Linked DNA regions of Neurospora crassa OR74A. The protein of the gene in region 3 interacts with the protein of the main gene of each other region in a pairwise test. Links are inferred from orthologs where the notes say so. Each region holds a gene or a part of one and is shown on either strand. Other genes may lie near its edges. The genes, in order: NCU06396, NCU06702 and NCU09610.

The links.
Region 1: the proteins of NCU09610 (region 3) and NCU06396 interact in a protein complementation assay, tested with the Saccharomyces cerevisiae proteins (2 studies listed by BioGRID). The link is inferred for Neurospora crassa OR74A from reciprocal best matches to the Saccharomyces cerevisiae genes SEY1 and GOT1.
Region 2: the proteins of NCU09610 (region 3) and NCU06702 interact in binary tests that used the Saccharomyces cerevisiae proteins (3 or more experiments, as listed by UniProt). The link is inferred for Neurospora crassa OR74A from reciprocal best matches to the Saccharomyces cerevisiae genes SEY1 and YOP1.

Annotation. Positions count from the first base shown.
Region 1 is NC_026504.1:2,648,845-2,652,078, forward strand, and holds NCU06396 (Got1 family protein), read right to left. Parts: upstream 2,278-3,234; 5' UTR 2,034-2,277; coding exon 2,003-2,033; intron 1,918-2,002; coding exon 1,891-1,917; intron 1,618-1,890; coding exon 1,553-1,617; intron 1,449-1,552; coding exon 1,149-1,448; 3' UTR 518-1,148; downstream 1-517. Other genes in the region: NCU06397 (profilin), read left to right, coding at 1-85, 224-358; NCU06395 (hypothetical protein), read right to left, coding at 3,205-3,234.
Region 2 is NC_026505.1:4,330,711-4,334,462, forward strand, and holds NCU06702 (yop-1), read left to right. Parts: upstream 1-1,446; 5' UTR 1,447-1,624; intron 1,625-1,820; 5' UTR 1,821-1,865; coding exon 1,866-1,919; intron 1,920-2,002; coding exon 2,003-2,218; intron 2,219-2,283; coding exon 2,284-2,309; intron 2,310-2,380; coding exon 2,381-2,476; intron 2,477-2,533; coding exon 2,534-2,648; 3' UTR 2,649-3,183; downstream 3,184-3,752. UniProt on the Saccharomyces cerevisiae protein: Required to generate and maintain the structure of the tubular endoplasmic reticulum network and the vacuole. Induces high curvature in membranes and causes membrane tubule formation. Involved in membrane/vesicle trafficking.
Region 3 is NC_026502.1:58,469-62,220, forward strand, and holds the start of NCU09610 (sey-1), read left to right. Parts: upstream 1-1,026; 5' UTR 1,027-1,473; coding exon 1,474-2,015; intron 2,016-2,067; coding exon 2,068-3,752. Other genes in the region: NCU09611 (fructosamine-3-kinase), read left to right, coding at 1-74, 148-241. UniProt on the Saccharomyces cerevisiae protein: Cooperates with the reticulon proteins RTN1 and RTN2 and the tubule-shaping DP1 family protein YOP1 to generate and maintain the structure of the tubular endoplasmic reticulum network. Has GTPase activity, which is required for its function in ER organization.

The DNA.
Region 1 (3,234 bases), on a different chromosome or scaffold from region 3:
CAAGGTTTTCGCTGAGGGTCTCCACGTTGCCGGTCAGCGCTACGTTGCCTTCAACATCGAGGGTCGCCACGTCTACGGTCGCCAGGTGCGTACTATCTCTATCCCCTTATCGTGTCTCAACCTCAGACGCCCGAACTTTAGTCGGCCGCGCTGCTCCAGGCATCCCCTTTCCAAGCCTCGTATGTTCAAGCTCACTGATGGTTTTTCTTCCCCCCAAAAATAGGGCAAGACTGGCGTCATCATCGTCAAGACAACACAGGCCATCCTCGTCGCCCACTACGGCGAGAACGCTGTCGCCGGCAACTCGACACAGACCGTCGAGGCGCTCGCCGATTACCTCGTCAAGGCCGGATACTAAGTCATGTCGGGAGGTAGTGGGAAGAAGGATGAGATGATTGGATGTCTTAAGAGTCACTGAACAAGAAACAAATGAAAACGGGATGAAGACAAGGAAGACGAAAGATGGGAAGACGGAAAAGAAACCGAAAGACTTTCCTGTGAAGGAGTATTGGGGACTGGTGTACTGGATGGATGATATCCTTAAACAGGCATAGGCCCTTGGGAATTTTTTTTTTCTGGAACTGACAGCACACTTTGGCGGAATTTGCCTTTCCATGTCAGTCGAGGCTGCCGGTGGTGAAAAACGTTCCTCGTCCGTTGTTCCATCATTGGGGTTATATGGTATCGTGATTTTGTAGACAATTTAACACCCCCCCCACCCCGGAACCATCTATAGTATTTGATTCTTCCTCTCAAAATTATGCATGAAAAGAAAGCCCGATACTTCCCTCTTCATATTACAACTTGGGTATCCCAAAGTTCGCTCCAACGCCGTTTGTGTGAATGTGCATGTTGATCGTGGGCATTAGACCCTTCATAGGCGTTCCCTCTCCTTTTCGTTTCACAACCGTCGTTTCTTCGTTCATGTTCCCGTTCGCCTCGTATTCTTTCTTTTGCCCTCCCTTTCATAGCGCGAGCGCTGAACCTGTCTTGCGCCCGACCCGCCGATGTCATTCAACCGAACGGCAAAGCGAGTATTCGTGAGCTTTCGAAGAGCGGCGCCATGGCCCAGACCATATCCTCGTTCGGCACGTTTGCACTATGCCACGGCGCCCTCGCCTTTTCCCCTCAACACTCAATCCCTCCATTTAAACAGGCAAATCCGCATTCTGCCTCGCTACCACACCAGACCGATCAACCGCGGTGCCGATATAAGGTCCAATAACAGGAATGTTGCGCGCGAAACCCGCTATCGTTCCCAGGAAGTCGCCAAAGAGGATCATGATCCCATAAAGCTCCACGCAGAAGCCGATCAAAGGCCAGCGCATCAAAATCAAAGCCAGACCGGAGAAAAAAGCCGCCGTACCTTTGGCCTTTTGCTTGCGTGCGAAGAAGGTGAAAGTTTTTTGGGGACCGATTATTATAGTTAGGCCGATTAGGAAGAGAATCTTTTTGGGTGTCAGAAGTGTTAGTAGGTACATAAACGCAGGAGAAGAAGAAGAAGAAGAAGAAGATAGACAACAGGGAGATAAGGTGAGAAAACAAAACATACATTGCCCATGGCAAGCATGGCCCGGTCAAAGAAGAGGAGGACACCGCCGATGAGGAAAAAGCCACCTGGTTGGAGAGTTCGTCCCGTCAGTTTATTTTGGTCCCTTCTTTTCCCCAAAAGAACATATAAGCGTGTATGTTCGATCCGATCCCATGACAGATGCGCAACGTTCGCGCGCCCAAAACTTTCAAATCATGGCCGGTGGCGCATTAATGCGCAAAGAGATCCAGCTCCCGTACATAATCGCTGCTAGGTAGGTCTGGCAAGGAGCTATACAGAGGTTCGGAAAGGAATATTTGAGGAGGGAGATTCGGGAACTAGGGATGGTGAATGCATACCGCCAGAGCAAAAGGCGACTCCAATTTCTAGAAACAGAGAAAAAACAGAGATTAGTATCATATACTCGCAGTCCGTGCCGTAGGCCATAGTCAGGTTGGGGGTCCAACTCACTTTGGGAGTCGGATAACCACATTGTAGGCATATTGCTGGTGTTGACTCGGAAGCTTTTTTGGGCGGGGCGGAAGATAGCTAGCTCAAGAGCTAGATGGGGAGTTCGAGGCAGCGCGAAAAGAAGTGAAGAAGCGGAAATAACTGCCGATGAATTAATAAGATAATGTAGTATATAGTAAAGAGCGTAAATACGCTGACTTGTGAAAGTGCTGACTATGTCTAGTTGTTGCAAAGGCGATCGAAAACGGTCTCGTTCGACGATGTGCTAAGATGCGATCAAGGGGCTTGCATCAACGCCGCGCCAGGGACGCGGCCGGCAGAGCAATCGGACCTTAGCGGCTTCGGGGGCCTGCCGACGGGCGGGCAGGAACAGATCCACTTTGGCTTAGCTTTCTGCAGCTGTGATTGGTTCTGAGGATCAGGATTGGAGGGGCCAACGAACCGCAAAAGCATCTTTTCTCGAATTTCGGGAAATTTTCCTTTTCGTTCTCTGTTCTACGTCCAGTTGTCGCGCAGAGATGAAGGCGTTTCAGAACAGCGAACATGGCAGTTTTGTTCCGAAACCACGCCTCGATCGCGTATTATATGCTTGTCAGCATGTAATGGTCTTAATGATGGACCAGGGCGCTTGATTACATGATTTTGCTATCATCAGGGGCGTCTTGGTCAGCTACGGTAGGTACTATTCATTTCCTTTCCCTTCACGTTGCCACGACGGCTCTAGCTTCTTGCTAGAGCAATCTGAGTTCGGTTTCTCTCCCGTCCGTTCTCGGTGGTCTGTCGGTTAGCTTTCGAGCTTTTGGGCAAAGAGCGAATGATCACGATTAAGCCGGAGTGTCGATTGTATCTTGCTGTTGAAAGACAGCGAGTACGTAGTTGGGACTTGACTTTGTTGGTCGCACATTCTTTTGCGATTAGATTAATTCTTTGTGAGAATAATAATAACATCACATCAACAATGCTCCCTTCCTGGTTCCTGTTTAAAATGAAAACGCCTTGCAATCGGTCCTTCTTGTCCCTCAACGCCTTGGAAACCGAGTCATGTTCAACGCCTCCTTGTAATATCCCATCCAAGTTTGTAGATGCTTCAATGTCCCTCCGACCCGTACGTAGCGCGTGCGAGATGCCCACGCCATGGCCAACAAGCGCCAAATGACAAGGCAGCCAGCCCAGGTCCAAAAAATGCGCTCCCTAGGTAGTCACTATTTGAGCACGGTGTGAGCACCTCTGGC
Region 2 (3,752 bases), on a different chromosome or scaffold from region 3:
CGTGACTCTGCAACGTGCAGCGACGTTCCACTGGAGGCTGCGGCAGGGAACTTAACCACTGCAAGTCAAAGGCAGCTAGCTGCTCCCCCGCACGTTCCATGCAGACCCGCTTGGGACCAAAATGCCGTCTGATTGGCCGTTTGCCTGTTCGAGACTGTTGTTGACTTTCCTTTTGTTGTTCGAGGAATTCGGGCAGTTGACGAACCAGAACACCTGCGCATTCCGCTCCCACTGAATTCCTTGATGTTTTGCCCATTCCTGGGCTACACACTAGAGTCTAGATGTGTGCCTGATCGACATACTATGCCTTTTCCGAACCAGTCACTCCAGACATCCGGTACACTACACCATGACGTTCCACCATGAATTACTGCCCTGGATGCCTGGCTGCGTTTCTGGTTGACAGGAGTTGTCATCCCGCCATAGGATCACAGAACAAACACTGTACTTCACTCCGTTGACGAGAGACTGCGCCAGCATTGACTTGGCAAGCATGTTCGCGTCTGACCGCTCGCAGAACGAGGGGAAACTGATCTCTCCCTCAGTGATATTGGTCATAGATACGTTGGAGAGATCAAACTGGTTGTTTTCCTGGTGAGCCATCTGGCAGAGGATTACACTTTTCTTTAGTAAATGTGAAGTGCGCTGCACATGCGGCGGCCGACACCCACCCGCATGAGGTGGAGCTGATTGCACGAAAACGCTAGTAGCGGTATCGCGGGGCTTCGAAAAGCTTCATGTTGGTCCATGTCATGAGTTCTGATACTCAACTTCAAACGTCCACAAGTTGTCATGGCCGCCTGTCTCAAAGATCAAAGCGCAAAGTGAGTAGAGCAGGCGAGGCAACCTCGAGAGAGTAACGCACTCTCCTTACTACCCAAATCTTCGAACCTCCATGGCCAATTGAAGATTGGACGGATACCGTGACAGTTTAGCCGCATTTGGCCATGGTAGATGTTTACAAGAAGCGGGAAGAAGCGACCAAAACGGTAAGCTGCTTGTGTGGATCCATGAAATGTTAAGAGAAAGTTATATCAGGATGATGATGATCTCAAAATGGAGAGAAAAACGAGCCGTTCGCAGCTTAGGCGAGGCACAGAAGGAGATGCATCAGGCCAATGAGAGACTGTTAGAATGTGCAACGGACAAAAAAGAAAAAGTTGAATGTTGATCCGACCCAGGCTCGATCTGGGGACCTTCAGTGTGTTAGACTGACGTGATAACCAACTACACCATCGGACCTGTTGATGACTTTAGCCAAAAGTCAATAAGTTTATCACCCGTACGCTCAAGCCATTCCTCGACCATATTCTCGTCTACCAATCCTGGTCAAACAGCTCCCGATGTGGCGTCACTGGGCTCTGGAACCAGTCAGATGCAGTTGATAACGGGAGGAAGCTTTGCGGCCCCACGGGCAGGGCAAGTTTCGGGTTGAGAACAGGATGATCCCCTTTTGAATGCACACGTATCAATCGTCATTGTTCGTTGTGCCCACAGCCCACAGCCCACTTCAACCCGTTCCCACACTCCAACTGCCATTTCCACGATAGCATCACCCCTAACCGCAAAAGGTCAGACGACACATTGCACTTCACAGCATCGTTACGGTGAATTCGAAAGCCAGGTCAGCAATTTTCTCTCAGCTTCCCGTCACCTCTCTGCCGGTGGTGCGGGTGTTCACCGAGCAGGCTGCGATTTTTAGGCCCAGCCCTCCCAGCTGCCCAACCCACTTTGTCACAGCTTCAGCTTCCCCGCCAGTTCCGACTCAGATTTTCCCCTGAACTTCAACTTTGCATCTTGCTGACGTCGAAACATCACAGCTAGCTCTAGATCGATAGACTTGCTTACCGCACCAAACACTCAAAATGTCTTCGCCTCAGGACCGCGCCCAGCAGTACATCGGCCAGCTCGATAAGGAGGTGCGTAAACCGCAGCCGGATCGCAGACATGTCGGCCAGGCCACGGCGTCGTTGGATTTTGCGTTGCTAACCTGCCTCAATAGCTGTCCAAGTACCCTACCCTCAACAACCTCGAGAAGACCACCGGCGTTCCCAAGGCTTATGCCGTCATCGGTCTCGTTGCTCTCTATTTCTTCCTGATCATCTTCAACCTCGGCGGCCAGCTCCTCACCAACCTCGCTGGCTTCGTCCTCCCCGGATACTACTCGCTCAATGCCCTCTTTACCGCTTCCAAGCAGGATGATACCCAGTGGCTCACTGTAAGTCGGGATATGCCTGATAAGGTCTTTGCCTATGGTGTCCATGCTAACCACCGCATTCACAGTACTGGGTTGTTTTCTCTCTCTTCACGTAAGCATTCCACTTTGGCTTTGCGTTCGATGTTGACTTGGTGCGCTTAATATCTAACCACGCGGCTATAGCGTCATTGAGAGCTTGATCAGCGTCGTCTACTGGTTCCCCTTCTACTTCACCTTCAAGTTTGTTTTCCTCCTCTGGCTCTCTCTTCCTACCTTCAAGTAAGTGGTTTCCCGCCTCTATCAGACTTTCAAGAAGACAAGCTTATATGTCAACAGGGGCGCCGAGACCATCTTCCGCTCTTTCCTCGCCCCCACCCTTGGCCGTTACTTCCAAAATGGCTCCACCGCCAGCGGCCTCCGCGCCAAGGCTGACGCCGTCCACACTGACTAAGCGTCTTATGGGCAACTGCCGGGCCTCTTCCGCTCGTTACAAAGTGTGCCGCTTTGAATGAGGCCCGAGGATACACAGGCAGATAGATGCACGGCCATCAAGTCTTTGCGCTGGACTTGTTGGCAACCATTCACGCGCGTGCAAGATTATCACAACAAAATCGGGGTAGAGGGATAGTTTGTTAACTGGAAATGTTGGAGATATGAGGTGGTTATAAGAGGACATGTGGTTACAGAAGATGGTGGCAGGATGATTGAGCCTGATGCGTCTAGAGAAGTAGGGACATATTTGGTATCTAACGATTGAATAAGTGGCAGTAATGAAGCATTCCTTGCATTGGGGTTGCTATCACTGAAACACTGAGATGTGTTCGACGTGAAAGGCCCATAGCTGGCCATCGTGTAGACGAAGCAATGGGGCACACCACATGCTTGCAATGTATGTCTGCTGGCCAGGACAGCCCAGGAAGGGTTTTGTTGACATCTAGACGACGTATAGAAAGCATAACCGCGCCACCTCAATTTTCTCTTCGCCGATGTGAGCAATCGATATCTCTTCATATGACTACAAGTACCGTATGCGGAAGGCCAACGACACTGCTGTTTTCCGTGATTCAGAAATCCACTGGAAGCCATCAATTTGGATGGCTGCTGCCCGTAAAACTACAGCTCGACAGGATGTACAACACTATCTAGAGGTAGGTATCAGATGGCTCGAGCTTTGAGCTCTGTTAAGCAGGTGCAAAACCTAGAGGTACACAGTAATCGGCATACGCTCCCCTCTCCCTACCCTCAGCGTACCACAATACCTTTAACGGTACTTGACACTAACAACCGACCTACTAGTTCCAGTGGTAGCCACCTGCCAAAAGTTGCCCAGGCCGGGCAGGGCAGTTGCTGACCACAGCAATCAAGAACATCCACTGATATTCTGTCTTGACGACCTCGAGCGCGCATGCTTCAGCTCGTTTCGAGGTCGCGGGTGAAATTTGAAACCCAGGGGAAACCATAATTGCCGACCTCAAACATTCGTTAATTGTACCTAGGTATCAGCGCTGGCATCGAAAAGATTGGAAAAGGCAGAAACGGCCTGGGCGCGTTCATA
Region 3 (3,752 bases):
AAGGAGTATGGGGAGTTGATGCCGAAGCAGGAACCGAAAGAGGAATGGGAGGATCGAATTGCCTTGTATGAGCTGTGAGTGTCGCGGTGATCTGACCTGCCTGCTGAGATGCTGTGAGGGGTGTGATTTGCTAATGGGGCTCGACAGGTACCACCATTTGAACCACTATGCGTTGTTTGGAGGCGGGTATCGCGGCGGCGCCATGTCCATTATGAAGAAGCTTATTGCAAAGTATGCGTAGCTGGGATATTCGACTTGGCTGGCGAATGGTCCTCAGAAACCGAACATGTGAAAGTCCGCATATCAACCTCGAGTATCAGGTACTCATGGCGCGTCCATGTGTCTTTGCAATACCGTGAAACCCAACATTATTGAAATGTCAAAATGTGTTGATGTAGGTGGGTATGGTCTGGCGCCAGTCGTCTGTTCAATGCTAGGATTGATGAAGAGCGCGTTGGTCCATTGTTTGATGCTCGGCCAAAGATATTCTAAGTATAGGGGCCTAAAGTAGACATGAGAAGCAACGTGGCCCTCGACTAACAGATTGAAGTGGAAGCCCAATGCGAAATCTGTTAGTGGTCTCGTGTGATAAATGGCCATTGTTGATCGCATTTCGCAAAGACGCCATCCATAACATGTTCTAGCTGATAACGAAATGAAGAGCGATTAGTTGTCGCTAAAGCTGGACCAGCTGGTCTCAAGACTCACATTCAACACGTGGAAATGTCAGGTCGAGACAAGTGAAACCCCTATAGCGTGATGTCTCTCTTTGTGAGTCCTCTCAAACTGACACTTTTTGACACGCCGGCATCCATCCGATCGATTGCATGTTCACATGGACCTCATCCGTCTCCCAGCGATAATTGTTAAGGATCGCTTGCCGTGCACAGACCATACATGTCACTGTCCAGGTGTTCAATGCATGTCATTGCAGCCGCCAAGAGGTGTCGTTCCCCTGTCAGCGAGTGACAGCAACGATCCACATCATCTTGTGAGAGCTCCATTCTGAGAAGCGACCAGACCATGCAAGCAACGAACCCACATCCAATCCATGACGGGCAGCTTGTAGGTTCCCCCTTTGGACACCCTTTGGGCCTCGATTCTCTGCTTGACAGTTGGCACTCGATACCACCCCCTCCTCCTCAGCCCGAAGCGTGTGGTCAACGACGACGGGACAGCAGCAGCAGCACTAGAAGCACCGCCAAGTCGGACCACACCCCTCCCCTCCCCTCCCCTCCCCCCTCTTCTTCTTCTTCTTCTTCTTCTTCTTTGCTGTAGTACAGCCAACTTTCTAATATCACCACCACCCATTCCTTTCTTCCGTCTTCTCCTTCCCCTTCTTCCTCTCTCTCAGTCTGTCTTGTTGCTACCTACCCGCCCTCTCCCCGTCGCGTCGTCCGTCCTCTTCTCCGCCACCCCAGCCAGACAACCAACCACGCGCCGCATCATACGAGACATCACGAAACCACCGCCATGAACGGCCACTTCGCCGCCGTCGACAACGGCAACGGGTCGTCGCCCGACAGCAACGCCCACAGCTTTGAACACGGTATCCAGGTCATCAACGAGGACAAGCAATACAACACCAACCTCAATGAGTACCTCAACGAGACACACGTTGCCGAGGCCGGCTTCAACTACCACCTCATCTCCGTCTTCGGCTCCCAGTCCACTGGCAAGTCAACCCTCCTGAACCACCTGTTCGGCACCCAGTTCAGCGTCATGTCCGAGCGAGAGCGTCGCCAGACTACAAAGGGCATATGGATGTCCAAGAACAAGAACGAGGGAAAGATGGCCGACAACATCCTGGTCATGGACGTCGAAGGCACCGATGGTCGCGAGCGTGGCGAGGACCAGGATTTCGAGCGCAAGAGTGCCCTCTTCGCCCTTGCTACGAGTGAGGTCTTGATCGTCAACATCTGGGAACACCAGGTTGGTCTGTACCAGGGCGCAAACATGGGCCTGCTCAAGACTGTTTTTGAGGTCAACATGCAGTTGTTCTTGAAGGATAAGCAGTGGGTTTCCTGTGATGCGCTCCTAACCGATGTTCACTTACTAACAGTTTAGAAACCAAACCCGCTCCCTCCTCTTCTTCGTTATCCGCGACCATATCGGCGTCACCCCTCTCGCAAACTTGCGCAACACCTTGATCCAGGATCTGACCCACATCTGGTCCTCCATCTCCAAGCCCGCCGGCCTCGAGAACTCCAAGATTGAGGACTACTTCGACTTTGCCTTTGCCGCCCTCCCGCACAAAATCCTGCAACCCGATAAGTTCATCTCCGAGGTTCAGAATCTCGGCTCCCGCTTTATTGCCGGCCACCGAAACAAGGACTCAGATGCCACCGACGACCAAGAACTCACCGGTGGCGTCTTCCTCCCCGAATACCATCGCCGTATCCCTGCCGACGGCCTCTCCATCTACGCCGAGGGCATCTGGGACCAGATCGTCTCCAACAAGGATCTCGACTTGCCCACGCAACAAGAACTTCTCGCGCAGTTCCGCTGTGACGAGATTGCGCGCGAGGTGCAAATCGCCTTTGACGCCGCCATTGCTCCCCTCGAAGAACAACAGGCCGAGTCCACCCGCGCCGGCAAGCCCGCCGTCCTTCCCAATCTCGGTCAAATCGGCGCCGAGGCCCGTGAGAAGTGCGTCAAGAACTTTGAGACTCAGGCCTCCCGCTACCACAAGGGCGTGTACACCACGAAGCGCGCCGAGCTCGAGGACAAAATCGACAACCGCCTCAAGGCTCTATACCAAGCCCATCTCACCGCCGCTCACAAGGCGGGCGTGACTGCCTTCTCCGAGGCCGTCGCCAACGCTGTCAAGGCAGGGCAAAAAGCGGGCGGTGCTTACGAGTTCGCCGAGATTGTCGAGAAGCAAAAGACCAAGACTCTTGAAATCTTCAAGAAGGAGGCGCAGTCCCTCGCCATCCCCGGAGTGGCCTGGTCCAACTTCAAGCCGCAGTACCTCATCTTTGAAAAGGAGCTCGACGAAGTCTCTGCGCGCTTGCGCAAGGAGGAGATGCGCCGCTTGGCGATTCGTGTAGAGCGGTGGGTCAAGTCCCGCCTAGGCGACGCGATTGGGCTGGAATTCAACAAGCTCGGGTCCGGTCGTGGTGGGTCTGGTGCTCCGGAGTCTGGTGAGAAACCCGCTACCGAGAAGGACATTTGGGATCGTGTATGGAAGGCCTTTATCAGCATTGTGGGTGAAGCCGAGAGCAGGTTTACCGATCGCGCCAAGAGCTTCGAAGCTAGCGACGATGAAGTCCAAGTCGGCCTCTGGCGCCTCCGCCGCAAGTCGTGGGTCGCGCTGCGCGAGAAGATCGAAGAAGAAGTAATGGAGTCCAACATTCTCATGAAGCTTCGCGAAAACTTCGAAGACAAGTTCCGCTACGACGAAGATGGAGTGCCACGCATTTGGCGGCCGTCGGATGACATTGAAGGGATTTACACGCGCGCGCGCGAGTCGACGCTCGGTCTCGTCCCGCTGCTATCCCGCTTCCGCCTGACATCCACCAGTGCCCCTCCGGATTTGATCGAGTTTGTCGGTCCCCAACCGCACGGCGTCGAGCCAGGTGATGAAGAGGACCTGACGCCGATTGGTGGCGTTGACGAGGACGAGGGTAAGTCCCTCGAGGAGGAGACGACGATTTTGAGCGAGCCCAAGAAGCAGGATTTGGTGGTGAGGTTTAAGAAGATGGCAGATGGAGTGTATGTTGAAGCCAAGAGGAGCGCGATTGGCGGGATCA